3 linked regions of the Saccharomyces cerevisiae S288C genome follow. The protein of the gene in region 2 purifies or fractionates together with the protein of the main gene of each other region. This does not show direct contact. Each region holds a gene or a part of one and is shown on either strand. Other genes may lie near its edges.

The links.
Region 1: the proteins of DIP2 (region 2) and BMS1 purify together in Saccharomyces cerevisiae (affinity purification with mass spectrometry; 2 studies listed by BioGRID). This does not show direct contact.
Region 3: the proteins of DIP2 (region 2) and UTP18 purify together in Saccharomyces cerevisiae (affinity purification with mass spectrometry; 8 studies listed by BioGRID). This does not show direct contact.

Annotation. Positions count from the first base shown.
Region 1 is NC_001148.4:138,891-144,793, forward strand, and holds BMS1 (GTPase BMS1), read right to left. Parts: upstream 4,282-5,903; coding exon 730-4,281; downstream 1-729. Other genes in the region: Arf family GTPase SAR1, read left to right, coding at 1-519; YPL216W (uncharacterized protein), read left to right, coding at 4,931-5,903. UniProt on the Saccharomyces cerevisiae protein: GTPase required for synthesis of 40S ribosomal subunits and for processing the 35S pre-rRNA at sites A0, A1, and A2.
Region 2 is NC_001144.5:397,813-403,105, reverse strand, and holds DIP2 (snoRNA-binding rRNA-processing protein DIP2), read right to left. Parts: upstream 3,450-5,293; coding exon 618-3,449; downstream 1-617. Other genes in the region: low-affinity Zn(2+) transporter ZRT2, read left to right, coding at 1-312; NEDD8 ligase DCN1, read right to left, coding at 3,673-4,479, 4,574-4,576; APC2 (anaphase promoting complex subunit 2), read left to right, coding at 4,787-5,293. UniProt on the Saccharomyces cerevisiae protein: Involved in nucleolar processing of pre-18S ribosomal RNA.
Region 3 is NC_001142.9:310,193-314,514, forward strand, and holds UTP18 (Utp18p), read right to left. Parts: upstream 2,515-4,322; coding exon 730-2,514; downstream 1-729. Other genes in the region: YJL070C (metallo-dependent hydrolase superfamily protein), read right to left, coding at 1-445; YJL068C (S-formylglutathione hydrolase), read right to left, coding at 2,824-3,723; MPM1 (Mpm1p), read right to left, coding at 3,922-4,322. UniProt on the Saccharomyces cerevisiae protein: Involved in nucleolar processing of pre-18S ribosomal RNA and ribosome assembly.

The DNA.
Region 1 (5,903 bases), on a different chromosome or scaffold from region 2:
CTGTGGAACAAACATGGTAAACTACTTTTCTTGGGTTTGGATAATGCCGGTAAGACCACATTGCTACATATGTTAAAGAACGATAGATTGGCAACCTTACAACCAACATGGCATCCAACTTCTGAAGAACTGGCTATTGGTAACATTAAGTTTACAACTTTCGATTTGGGTGGTCATATTCAAGCTCGTCGTTTATGGAAGGATTATTTCCCAGAAGTTAATGGTATCGTCTTTTTAGTCGATGCTGCTGACCCTGAAAGATTTGATGAAGCACGTGTCGAATTAGATGCTTTATTCAACATTGCCGAATTGAAGGACGTTCCTTTTGTAATTCTTGGTAACAAGATCGATGCTCCAAACGCCGTTTCTGAAGCGGAGCTACGTTCTGCTTTAGGATTATTGAATACCACTGGCTCTCAAAGAATTGAAGGTCAAAGACCAGTTGAAGTTTTCATGTGTTCCGTTGTTATGAGAAATGGTTATTTAGAGGCGTTCCAATGGTTATCTCAATATATTTAATTGACGTATACATCTATACCCTTTATATGACATTCACATGAATTCAACAGCTTTGTAATAATCAACAAAATTGCATAGGATGCCACCTCATAACTTTTGAGCACAGCATTTCCGCGATCATAGTATATTTTAGACTCTAAGATTGAATAAAAGTATGATACATCTTAAGTATACATATATATATGTATATATATATATATACATGAAAGTTTACCTCCTCATCTTACGTGGACGAGATTCATCGTCACCGCCCATAGTTGTTCTTTTACCATTCTGGGCGAAGTATTCTTTCTTTTTCTCCTTATCCCTTTGTGATTTTTCTTCCTCCATCTTAGCTAATTTTTTCAATCTTTCCTTACGTTGACTAGCCTTCTGTTCCTTCCTCTTGCTGTCTTTGGCTTTCGAAATCGTCAATACTTTTTGAATGAATGATCTTGCCTTCTTTTCATCACCACCTAGCACCACGGCTCTTTTAGCCATATATGTTTTCTTCTTTTGTGGTTTCATTTGATGGATCTGAGATTTGAATGGCAATTCCTTTTGAACAGCTTTTGGGACCTTTAGACCATTGAAGTGTCTTTCTACACGTTCTATTTTATGATATGCACTGTCCGGATTCGACGGTGTTTCCAGGTTCATAGCCGCTCTTATTTGGCCTGTCAATCTTAAACCTTTCCACTCGGTTTTTTCCTTCAACAATAGTGAGGTAACAGGATTATAGAATTTCTTGACGCGGACAGGATACCATGATCTTAGAATTACAATATCACTCATTAGGATTTTATCCTCAAAGGCTGCCCTATAGTGACCCTCAGGCTTTGAAAGTGCCCTTTTGATTTCACCACGGATACCCGAGACAGTTTTGATCTGCGCACCCTCAAACCTTGCAACTTCCATAGCACTTGAAAACATGTCCTTTATAAAGGCAGTATTTTTGAAAATTTTATATGGAAACCCAACTAATTTTAACTTTTTAACAATTTCAATATTAACGTCTATCTCTTCAACGATACCTGTTGCTGCAATTCTAAAACCGTTCCCGGTATCACTATTAGCAACAATTTGAACACCACAAAAAGGTGTGTTTGGAGAACATAAGGGACCGTAGAAAGCCGCATTACAATATGTGTGTTCTGGTGTATACTTTAGCATTCTGGTTCTTGTTCTAGAGTCAGTTGTTGTATAAATTGGTAAAGTTTGGAACCTTCTCCAACCCAAAGACAAGACCAGTGGGTCATTTGTCTTCAAAATCTTCTTATGCCAACGATGTCTTCTCAACCTGGCTTTGACAATACCGAACTTTATTTCGGTCGGCAATAAACCACCCATAACAATTGGAAATTTTGGATTGAAATTCTTGACAAATTCCATTGGGACTTTTTCGAAAACGATACGTACATAAGAACCAGCTTTGAAACCTTCGATTCTTTGACGTTGTTCTGGAGTCATTTCTTGATATTCTATATTGTTAATTTCTAACTGTTTAGATATCTTGGCCTTCTGTAGTTCATACCATGTATCATATTCATTGTTTTCATCATCTTCTTTAAAGTTTTCACCTTCTTCTATCTCGAATTGTGCACGTAGTTTTTCCTTCTTTGCAGCATTCATTTCTCTTTCTTGCTCCATGGTTAAGTCCTTTTTTTCCTCCGCATCAAAATTAGTGAATGAATTATCATCATCTCCATTAGTGTCTTCGTTTTCATCCTCATCCTCACTTTCTTTGTCACTATTGTCTTCTGCTTGTTCAGAAGGGTTTCCATCTTCTAGATCTTCAAAATCGCCGTATAGTTCTTCCCCACCTTCATTAGAGTCACTTTTCGTTTTATTATCATTACCTAAAATGCCTGCGCCGAGGAATCGCTCTTTGATTGCATCAACGCTTTTCCATTTTTTAGCCAATTTTTCGAAAGTGTCGAAATATGGAACAAACTTTTCCAAATCAACTGCATGGTCTTTATTGCCCTCTTTTGTAACAGTACCATCTTTTTTCCTGAAGAAGTCATCATCAACATCTTCTTCAATGTCACTTTCGTCTTTACTATCGTCGTCCTCGCCCCTCCACCTTCTTATACATTCTTCAGGTGAAATGTTGTCCATGTATATCAGCTTACCGATATTCCAGGTCCTTTTCTTACTTTCAGTTTTCTTCAGCTTGTTTGCCGCTGTTCTTTCCCAGGAAAACTCATCTTCACTCTCTTCAAATTCAGAATCTGTTTCCAAAGCTAATTTTTCGGCACCCTGCTCACCGGTATTATTGAAATCGATTTCAACCATCCTTGGTTCGGAGTCCTGCACGTCGTCATCATTTGTATAAGGTTCTTCATCACTCGGTAAATTATCAATATCTGCGTCTTCTTCTTGAACTGGCTTACCATAAATTCTTGGTTTTCTTAAACTGGTTCTTCCCTTGCTCTTTCCTTCATCGTCCTCAATACTTTCTTCTCCACTTTCAACATCCATGCCTTCATGATCGGCAACTTCATGAAGCTCAGTGCCGTTGCTAAACAATTGCAAACCCACACCATCAAATTTCTCTGCAATACTTTGTTCAACACTTTGTAAACCCGTCATGAGTTTTTCTCCTTCACCTCTTTCTTGGCCGGGAACAAAACTTGGCTCTTCATTTTTCTTTCCAATATCAATATAAACAGCATCCTTATCCATCAACACACCTCCGACATCGGACATTGGAGCATATATCAATTTATCTTTATCATCTAACCTTTTACGTCTTCTTGTCGTAGAGGCAGTTGTAATTTCTCCGTTAGCCTTTGCCTCTTCTTTCATTTTTTCACGTTCAAAATCATCCAGTTTCTGTTGGTAAAAAGGTGTGGGACATGGATCTGGTAATTTTTCAATTTGTGCTACTGAGAAATCACCAACACCAGCAATATGCACCCTAGTGCCCGGAGCAGAAGGCAAAGGAGTACCGTGCAAATAACCATAGATAGCGACTTTGCGGTCGATTTGCAGTCCTTGAGTCTCTATTAATTCCGGATGAGTTAAATCTGTGAATCTGTCAGCCAACATATAGGGATGTTCGTTCCTCCATTTTAATGGTCTGAATTTCATAACAGATATAAATCGTGAAAGGTTTAAAATCTCTCTATCAGGATACCTTCCATTAATCACACCAGATAGGTAAAATAATTTTGCACCTTGATAAACTTCCGTCCAGAATCTGTGCTTTAATCTTTTCTTAGAAGCTCTCAAAGTTGACTGAGATTTAAACAGATCAAGATGTGTAGCTACACCAAGTACTCTTGGCATACCGTGATGTTGAGCAATATTTAAGAATTCCATTGTTTCCATTTCAAAACCGAAATTACCGTCAATTAGTAAAAGAACCAAGTCGGCAATCTTAGCAATATCAATCATCGCATTCAGATCGTCCGCAGGGCACTCCAAAAAAGTTAGTCTTCTATGTTTACCAGAGACAACAGTAATAGGACCTTGAATATCATTCAAAGTGCTTTTTGTCATTCTCCTGACGAGGGACCGAATCAAAGTAGTCTTTCCTGTTCCAGGTGGACCCACGACAGCGACGATAAATGGAGGCGGATCATCTTCAGGGGTACGATCAACCATAGGAACATGCAGTTTTCTTTCGTTCACATCACTTGACCTTTGCATAGTTCTCGCCATCTTACCTGGGGCTGCCACGGCAAAGGCCTTTGCATTATGACCCTGCGTATGGAGCTTCTTTTTTGCTGTATTCTTCTCCTTCGCCTTACGGTGCTGTTTATTAGACTGCTCCATCGTTTCAGATAACTCAGATGGCTGATTAAAGGCTACTATTATGTGATATTTTTACCTTAACAGCGCAAATACTTTCCTTAATTTTGAAGCTTCACTTCAGCTCATCGCCTTGAAAATTTTTCATTTGTACGGACATTAAACTTAGGCGATAACAAAAAAAAAACTTCATCTAGATAATCTCAACTTTGAAATTACAGAAATATTTACAACAGTAGTACGAGTATCTGCACTATGGCTCACATGTCCTTAAAATAATCTAAGCTTACCTATCTGATATTTGTTTTGATATTGTTTAGGACCAGCAGTTTCTGAGAGTTTAGCAAATGCACCTTTACAGCTATCCTCAACTTTTGGAAGAGAAAGTGACAAGATATGTAACAATACTTGCATGAATCGACATTTGTTTACTTTGGTCCATTTTGTATATGATAGTGTGATTTAGCGATATGGAATTATGTGTATTTTTCTATTTGTTGTCATTTCAATATGGGATGACTTGTTTTCTTGTAACGCGCCACTTCAATAGTAAACATTATGAACCTGATAAATGTTAGCAGACTTAGTAAGAGAGACAATCATTTTCATTCAGTAAAAATCGCAATCCCTAGTTTGGCTCTTCTTCTAGCCGTACTTTAAATTCAAAGCAAAAATGGTTCTGCTTAACAGAAGGAAAATACAACCTAAGGAAATAGGACAGTCTGCTGATTCCTTCTCTGAAACTCCATGGGTGATTAAAGAAAGTAGCGAGCGTATAAATGATTATGACAGTGATTTAAAAAAGCTAGATTTTTACAAAAGGGATATATTCACCTGTGAGATTAGTGGAAAAGATGGCCTTTCGTATTTCAAGGCGTTAAAAAGCGAAGAACAGCACCGTGAAAAGGTCAGATATCTTTTACCAAAAGAACTAAGGAAGGCTATAGCAAATTTCGCAAACTTCAGTCCGATAAGGAAGGTAGGACACCTTGTAGAAAGCGCATTTCAGCGTTTTAGTAACCGTTTCTTTATAGGCGATACGGTGTGCTTGAAAACTATCCAAAAAAATGCATTGATTACCTATAAAGAAGGAGAGCCTAACTTGGTAGAATCACCAACTATTGAAAACAATGTCACGTTGTTCCTTGTCAAGGATGTGTTTCAATCTAACGGGATGATGGAAAGTGAAAAGGGAGAAATTTCTGCCCCAAAATTGTCACTGTATTTAATCACAGAATGCCTGAATCGAGAATCTAAAGGTGCGGCCCTAATTGTAGGCCAGAATGAAATTAAAAGGCCAGAATCACACTTTTCTAAATTCATAATTGCGTGTTTTCTTAATGAAATACTCATAAAAGTATCGAATAAGGAGCACGCACCATGGAGGGTGAAACAAGAATATATAGAAAGATATGATGTAAACCCTAAATGCTCTCCTAATATGATTGATTATTTGCCGGATAGAATGAACTCATCTTCTTCCGAGCTTTACACTCCTCTTACTATACCACCAGAGAGCGATGTTGAACCTGCTGACTGGAAGGAAACGTCGGAAACGTCGGAAACGTCGGAAACGTCACTATCTAAAATAAAAGCAATTGACGACGAGATTTCAGTCTCATTTGACCACATTTACGATAATGTGA
Region 2 (5,293 bases):
GAAAGTAAGAAGTACATGCCTTGGTTAATGGGATTAGCCTTCACTTTAACGTCACCCATAGCAGTCGCGGTAGGTATTGGTGTCAGACACTCTTGGATACCTGGCTCTAGAAGAGCATTAATTGCTAATGGTGTTTTTGACTCGATATCATCAGGAATTCTTATTTATACTGGACTAGTCGAATTAATGGCTCATGAATTCTTATACTCTAATCAATTCAAAGGACCTGATGGCCTCAAAAAAATGCTTAGTGCATATCTCATCATGTGTTGTGGAGCTGCTTTAATGGCTCTTCTAGGGAAATGGGCATAGTATCTCACGTATATTTTGTTAGATTAGATAGTTATTCATTATCAAAAAAAAAAAAATGCATGACCTATAATTTTACAACTGCTCTGCAGAGACGAGAGACATCTCGCAAAAAACAGCATATGTCAGCGACCAATAAGTATAAAAAACACATATTCCGTTATTTGGATATGCCCATTATTACCGAAGGGCAATCGGAATGACAATTTTTATGATTGGAATTGTATAATATACAGATAATTTAATCTATCCTTTTGAAGTGTGAAAAGGGCAGAGTAATGCCGGTATTATGTAGGATAATAGTTTTATTATATAACGGTCCCGAAAACTCTCTTCCTTGCACTATTACTCTCTTTCTCCTGTTGGTCATATTCGTCAACGAATTCGTAGTTATGCCTTAGATTCCATTGTTGCTTGACGAATTTCAACCCTTGAACATTAAAGCCTAGATCATCCTCGGTAGATTTTAATGCACTTCTTAATTCAGTCTTTACTCTATTTATTTGCAATTTCAATTCTTCATTTTTCTGAGAAACCAATTCTTTATGATTAAATTTGATAATGAAAAATAAATTCTTGCAAATTAATGGTAAGTGAGAGTGCAGCAAAGTTTTGTTTTGCATAACGGTATCAATAAATTTTAAAAATTTGAGGACATATGAGAATGGCATAACCATCAGTGCATCTTCTAACTGAGACATTCTTATTCTTAACAGGGTATCCATAATATATTGCTCAGGAGTTTTATTCACAGCAATTAGAACAGCGTTACCCTGTGGTTTTATTGGCGCTTCACCCAACTTCTTTCTTTGCCATAGCTTCATATCTCTGTTATATGCCTCTAAACCTTCAATCTCAGCAATTCCTAAATCTAGCGCCTCCATAAGTCTTTCACCAGCCTTTAACGATTCTAAAGTCTGTTTATGAACACCGGATGCTTCATCTTCAACGCCTTCACCCGATGCATCAGCTTTAAATGCATCATCACCGTTTCCTTCTTCCAAAGAAGTTAGCAATGTATCCTCGTACTGTTCTTCAAGTTCTTTCTCCTTTTCCTCTTCTAAAAATACCTGGTCCTCGGTTTCTTCCCAGATTCTTATACTGTGATCATGGGATGAAGAAACAACAAAGCCGCCATCAGTAGCAACCGCCAAAGCCCAAACTTCGCTCTGATGAGCGTATAGTTTTTGAATGCATTCAAATTTCTCGCCATCCCAATATTTCACCACTGCGTCTTTAGAACAACTAAAGAAGTTGTGAGACTGTGGTAAGAATTTAACGTTCATAATCGAATCCTGATGGGCAAATAAAGACTTGTGACAGTCACCAAAATCTAAACCCCAAATCTTGATATTTTTGTCTGCGGAAGACGTAATAATCATCTTAGAATCAAATGAAATATCGATAGATAGTACAGGTAATTTGTGCCCATATAAACTTAGGTAAAACTTCATTGAGTCCAAAAAGAATACCTTAACAGTATTATCCAGCAACGAGATGGCTAGATATCTATCGTCAGGAGAAACCCGTACACATAAAATGTCGTCAGTTAATTCCAAAGTTGTATCATGGTGCAGTTTTAAAACAGGCAGGAATTTGTTCTTGGTACCTGGCACTAGGCTATTTTCAACTTTGAAATCCCAAAACTTGACAGTTTTATCGGCAGATCCGGTCACTAATCGTTTACCATCTGAGGTCAGATCTAGCGACCAAATTGCCGCATCATGTGCATCTTCAATGGTATCCAAAAGACTTGATGATGCTAGATCAAAGAGCTGTAACTCCCCGTTTCTTGTACCCAGTATGACTAGTAGCCCACCTGGCAAAAACTTACAAGTTAATGCATACCCACATTCGAAAGTTCTGATACATTTATGTGTTTTGATATTCCATATTTTCAATGAACCATTGGATGCTGTGGCAAGTAATTTGTTATCATCACTGATGTCAATACTACGCACATCCGTTCTTTGCCCTTGCAATTCAATAGTATGTGTCTTGAGAGGAGCAGGGCTTGTTGGGTCTCTTTTTTCATATGGAATGGAATAATACTCTATGGTATTACTCGATGTAGTTAATACCAACTCAAGTTTGGAACTTGAGACCGTTGTCCATGATGCAGATTTTATTTTATACAATGATCTTATGGTTTGAAAAGGATGCAATATAAAGGAGGAGTAGGATTCTTTAATAGATTTTGCAATTTCTTCTTCTGTCAACCCCTTTTCTTTTAGCCTCTTCTCTCTTTTCTTTAAACCTCTTGCTATTTCTTCTTCTTTTCTAATTCTGAAAGTCTCGATGGTTTTATCAGCATTTTGGATGTAAAAAAAAGAGGTTTTGTCAGACGAATTTGTTATGAACTCAATCTTTAACCCACGTTGCTTACTTTGCTTTTCGAAAATACCCATCTCTGTTAGTTTCCCCCCCATTTTGTCATTTTCTATATCCAGTTTCCAAATTTTTACTTGACTATCAGTACCAGTTGTGATCAGTAAATCATCCTTCACTGCAAGGCCCCAACACTCTCCAGTATGCGCAATATGTGTCTCTATACATTGATGTGTTTTTAGGTCCCATAGCTTGATCATTCCATCTTTGGAGGTGCTGATCAGCCAATCTTCTCCTTGACACCAAAAGCCAGTAATGGAATCCTTGTGTGATCTAAGTTTATAAAGACCAACTTCTCCAACAAGATCCCATACAATGATATTGGAGTCCTTGGAACCAGAAATTAATCTTGTGCCAGTCCCATCAAATTGTAATAATGTTATAGCTGCTTTGTGACCGTTAAAATTCAAAAGCACAGTCTTAGACATCAAATCCCAAACTTTAATGACACCATCTGCGTAACCGACAGCTAATAAATCCGTATCTTTATGAGCCTCCAAATATGTACACTCGGCTGGCTTGGCGCCTCTAGCATCAGATGCGCCTGGAGGTAAGCCATCGGATAATTTACTGACCAAATCCCCGGTCTTAATATCCCATATATTAACGTCCTCGAGAGCACTCGTAATCAATTGTCCTGGTCCACTACCATTACTATTTCCGGATGACGCAGGTATCCAAACACAATTGGCATTGGAGGCTATTACACCAAAAGCAGCTGCTTGCTCAAAACGTTGGTATGATTTGACCATAATAGCTCTTATTCCAGTTTCTCTGGTCCTTCTAGTGGCTACTCTGATATACGTACGACCTTATACAATATCTACATCTATATTATGAGGGAACTGAAAATTTCTGAAAAATTTTCCACTGCTCATCGCGTTTTTTATTTCCGCCTTATTCCCATCTATCTTAGAAGGGTAACGTATTCCATGCAATATTAAACAGCATACCCTTAAGTATATGAAAGGATGTTTATTGCTGATCCTGTAAGCACTCATAGAACTCATCGATAATAAATGGCCAGGCTGCAGTTTCGTCGTAATCGCTTATTATTTTCTGAATAGTGGGGTATCGTTTGAAAAAGAGGAGCAGCATACGCCAGGTGTCTTTACTTATAGTGGTTTTCCCCTCATCGCGAAGGAAACGGAACCATGCCTCAAGCAAATCTGGTTCCATACGCACTGGGTACTCTGGTTGGAAAAATAGCTTCCAATACTGGATGCCTTCGTCTGTATCTATATCCTTTCGATTTGGGTCCAGAATCAAATTGAAAGCATAGTTATAAATCTGTGTGAAATATTGTAAGTCTTCATGTAATTTAACATCTAACGTCTTGATGCACTCTTGCATGTCTGAAATGGTGGAACAGCCTTGCATAAACCATGTTGACAGGAAGTCCTCTCGTTTTAAGGGTTCTTCTAGTTTCTTGTACCCCAGTAAATGGGCTAAGCATAATGTCGCTAAATCTTCAAGATTGTAGCCTAGCTCCTCAATGAACTTGACCAGTGAGTCTATATCAAACAAGTTGTTATTGATATAGTGTTCAAATACCTGTGTTAGCTCCTTCGGGTATACGGGTGGATGAGCCACAGTTGAAACCTCGTCAGTAAACGTCCCTATTTCCTTGTCATAATAATCATTGAGAGCGTAATTGATGTTCCAGTGATTACGCTGCAGGTACTTCCTGGATACCTTGGGGTCACATTTGGTTAATGAGGTGAATGATTCAATTGCCTCTTGTTCCGGGCTTGCATCCTTTCTTTTTATTTTATTATTACTCTATAATGATGCATCACATTTGAGCGCCCCTTGCCAATAAAGTGTTAGTACTTTGAAGAGCCTGAGAACTAAAGAAACGAAATTAAAAACATACCATGTCCTGAATGCAAGAACGTCTCTTCAAAAATTTCTTTTTTTATTGGGTACTTGCATGTTACTGCGTAAGTTCATTAGTTGCATCTAAATTTTCAAACCTTTGGTTACAAAAACAGTAATAGACAAAAGAGCCAAAATATCGAAAACTAGACGAAAGCCAGACTTAGCGGGACTGTAAATATTTATGGCTTATAGTTAAGGTTTTTCCATCATGTCATTTCAGATTACCCCAACTCGAGATTTGAAAGTTATTACAGATGAGTTACAAACACTTTCCTCATACATCTTTCACACAAACATAGTCGATGATTTGAACTCTTTACTTACATGGATGAGCCCTAATGATGCCAAGAGTAACCATCAACTACGTCCTCCAAGCCTTCGTATTAAGAATATCATTAAGGTTCTCTTCCCTAATAACGCAACCACATCGCCATATAGCATGATAAACACTAGTCAGGCAAACAATTCAATAGTTAATGAGGGAAATACAAACAAAGAGTTACAACTACAACTTTTTTCCACGCTCAAAGAGTTTTATATTTTCCAGGTTCGTTATCATTTTTTCTTACATTTTAACAACATTAATTATCTAAAAGATATCCAACGATGGGAAAATTATTACGAGTTTCCTTTACGTTACGTTCCTATTTTTGACGTAAATGTAAACGACTGGGCACTTGAACTTAATTCTTTAAGACATTATCTGTTGAATAGA
Region 3 (4,322 bases), on a different chromosome or scaffold from region 2:
TTATGTTTGAAATGCCATCTTGTTTGGAAGCAGCAATGTATCTTTTTCTCATTTGAGAAACCAATTCAAACGGATTAATGAAAAGATCTTTAGTTTCTTCACCCGTTTTCAGATTTGAGGGCGTGTACGATGAGACAAAGCTGTCACTTTCTCCATTTCCATAATGATGGGAAACTGAAGGAAGTGGATCAATTTTGTTTTCTTCGTCTTCAAGATCGAAAAACATAGGTGAACCTAAAACCATTTGCCTGTCAAATTCCGTGGGCAAAGAAATCATATCCATATCATCGACTGATATTTCCTTCTGTTTCAAAACAGATGGGGAGACATCACCGTCATTCTCTGACAAGACCCTGGCTTCTTTATTCTTCGTCTCATTAGGCTTAGTAACAGAATTTTGATATTCGTCAAAGAGTAACGAGGGCCTTCTCTCTACCGCCTGCATAATTCCCAGCGAGATGAATAAGTAAAGTGAGATTTAGATAACTCTTACAGAGGATATTGAGAGGACATTTTAATCAAATTCTTTAAACTCAATGTCCCCTTTTTTTCCATATATTATATTTAATTTCTCGGACAATTTTTCATTTCTGACTATAAATGACAGCAAGAAAAAAGTGGGCAGAATCATATTCAATTTCAAGTTTCTTCGCAATTTTTTTACAGTGATATTTTGTGTATGTATTTGTACATTGCTTTTAATATCTAAGTTTGTCTATAAATGGAAATTTAGTAGTGGTTTAATTTCCAGAGCCTCACTTTACCTTGTTCGTTACCCACGGCCAGTAGCCCACCAGATGGCGAAAATGCGACACTGGTAACTTTACCCAAAGGCGTCCCGCTGGTAGGCCAGTTGCTGAACACGCTACAAGAAGGCAGATGAACTAGTCTCAAAGCATCCTTGACTGCACGGGATGCCATGCACAGTATTTGACCATCAGGGGAAAATTGTAGATTAGAAATGGTAGTTGTTAGCTGGTCCAAGGCGGCGACAGGTGTAGGGGTCGACGAGGTCATAGCATTATTTCTATCGTAAAGATTAACAAATCCACTCTCACTACCTACCGCAAGCCACCTATTTTGCTTTATCTTACTTATTTGAAGAGCCGGACAAGTAGTTGTTGTCCCACCACCAACTTGGATTTTTGTTATACCCACGCCACCTTGGTCTTTCCATCTTCTTATAACATGGCCATTCTTATTCAAGTCAAATTCCCACACTTCACCATACGCGTTTACAGCAATTAAAATGGTCCTAAACTTACCACGTGAAATAGGTTGATAATCGATACAGAAATCCGTTATCACACCTTCTATCTTGCAGCCCATTAACCATAGTCCGGAAGTGGAATGTAAAATGTTAATCCAACCATTATTACCCTGTAAAAGGACAATTCCATGGACAGAATTTGTTTGTGAATTCTGCAAATGTGCAACTTTGAAATTCTCAAATGATCTTTGAGTGGACTCATGTCCATACAATCTGGAAAATTTTTCGATTTTGGCAGTCTGTGAATGAGTTAAATTTTCTAAGGATAAGTCCCAGGAATGCATATATCTTCTTCTACCGGCGGTGAATATATTTTGTTGATTTTGGTTTGATAGAGAAGTATAGAAAGTACATGTTTGTATTGGAGACCCAACCAGGTGCAAACTTGTCACTAGATGGTTCGTTTTCCCGTCAATATGATATATTCTTAAGGTCTTATCATACCCACCCGTTAACAGTAGAGGCTTAGAAGGATGGAATGAAAGAGATTGTATGGCGGAATGAGACGGGTGTGATGCATTTGCATCTTTAAGACGCACAATGTCAAGTTTCTTAGGGGGTAATAGTTTGGAATTCGATAAAGTGTCTTTATAATTGTAAGTAGTAGACAGGATCTTCGTTAGAGCATTAATATCTCCATTAATAACATTATTAGAGCCTTCTTCTTCATCGTCTTCTTCGTCATCTAATTCAGAATCAGATTCATCGTCCACCCATTTGGGCCTTGGATATATCTTTTCAAACTGAGATCTCAATCTGTTGATGTAATGAACACCGTTGATTTTGGACTCGTTATAGGAGGTTCTTAATTTCTTTGTCTTATTGGTAACAAGAATAGGCACTTTAATTTTTTCATCATCCGAATCTATCCAAGCAGCTTCTTCAGAGTCCTCAGAATAATCATCGCTTGAAGAGTCATCTTCGTCATCCACGTCCATGGTATCTTCATTCTTATCTTGACTATCTTCGTTACCACCATCGTCCACAAAAAATAACTGATCGTTGTTAACATGGTCTAATTCACCGTTCTGCGCTTCATCTTCTTCACTGTTATCTGATTCAGATCCCTCATCCTCCTGGTCTTCAACATCCATTTCTTGTTCATTGAAAATGAAATCGGCATTAAATTTAGCGAGATTTTCTTGTAAATCTGTTGTATCACCGAATACAAATTTGGCTAGTAACTGTTCTTCTTCATCTGGTGGAGGTACGCTAACATTCATTGCGGTTGTTGCCATTGTCATTGTCGCACTAATGTAGGCTGATATACACTTTCAAGAACGATACCACAACAGGACCAGAGTGATCGATGAGATGAGGTGAAATTTTTTTATTTTTCGTTTTTTTCATTTCATATTATTAAATTCGTCGGATGTGATGCCAATTAACCACATAATAGCAATAGTAATGGAAGTTACAGGTGACATAAAATCTACTGCGAATAACCTTTGAAAGGATAACTATGTTTGGCCATTTTTTTCTACGGACGTATATTTCACTAAATATGTACATAGAAAAGTCATAAAAATTACCATAATGAAATGCGATGCCTCTCAAATCAAACCCAAGTTTCGCGCATGAAATTCAGCATGTTCTGGAACGAAAGTGCTGACAAAGTAATAGGAGTGATCAAAGCCGTGAACTTTTTTTATTTCCACGTAGTCCTGCCATGAAGTGGCTTTCACCGCCTCAAGTAGTAATTCCGGTTTCAAGTGTTCTTCCAAAAAGGGATCGGAGTCTCCTACATGGATCAAAATTCTGTCGTCGCCCACATGTCTAATATTCTTGATTAATAAACATGGGTCGTACGCTTCCCACTGGGCTTTTTCTTCGCCCAGATAACCTTTAAACGCTTTTTGACCCCAGGGAACGTTGGAAGGGTTCACGATAGGGGCGAAGGCAGAACAAGATTTGTATCTCTTTCCGGAATAGCCCTTCAAATACCCACAAATTGCACCATATCCCCCCATCGAATGGCCTGTGATGGCAACATTGTCCAAGAAGTCCAGCTTTACGTCACCGTTCTTGTTAAAATGAGAATCTAATGTTTGTGGGAGTTCTTTGTGAATGTAGTCGTACATCTGGTAATGTTGGGCGTATGGTTCTTGGGTGGCATTTAGATAGAATCCGGCGCCCTGTCCAAAATCCCAGGAGCCCTCAGGATCATTGGCTACTTCGTCACCACGTGGGGACGTATCCGGAAAGACTATTGCAAATCCGTACTTGTCAGCTTGAAACTGCCAAAAAGCCTTCTCAGAGGCGTTGTCTGGCGTGCACGTCAAGCCAGAAAGGTAAAACACAGTTGGGATACGCTTATTTCTTGGAAAATCTTGGGCGTAATAGTGCTTAGGCAAATAGATATTGACGTTCATGCTGGTCTTGGTAGAGTTCGAGTTATGTGACAACTTGATCAATCTGCCACCACAGACACTAAATTCCTTAACAACCTTCATATTGAACTATGTGAATCGCTTATATGTATTTTATTGATGCTATATATTGTCAAAAATGTGTATTGATCTTTTGTGTGTGTGTGTGTGGATCTCCCCTTAGCAGTCGCATGTTTTCCACACGCGCAAGGTCATAATCGTGCGATATATACAAGGCATATTGTGTAAGATATGAGTAAAAAAAGGAAACGAAAATATGTCCTAATTGTCTTCGTCAACACTCACCACTTTATGCTTCACCTGGGGACTGGAACCCTTGGAGGTAGTGGTGGTAGTAATGTCTACCGTGCCATCGTCAAAGTAGATTTTTTCAGTTTTGACGGTGCTGGGTTTTGCATCATTGGAATCCTTCGTGGTACTAATGGACTGTGCCCTTCCAACAATTTTCTTGGATCCATCTGCAGAAGCATATTCAGCATCGTTGCCCAGATGCAAGTCGTCCCAATTCAACATGAGGTCTTCTGGAGTTCTAGCCAGAGGCTCTACGGCAGTGCTCCTAGTCTTGATTCTTTGTTTTTGTAGTCTATTCATGTGCGACCTCCACTTCAAAAAGAGGTTGAAATCATTGAAGAACAACCCATGAGAGTGCGACTTGTCAGATT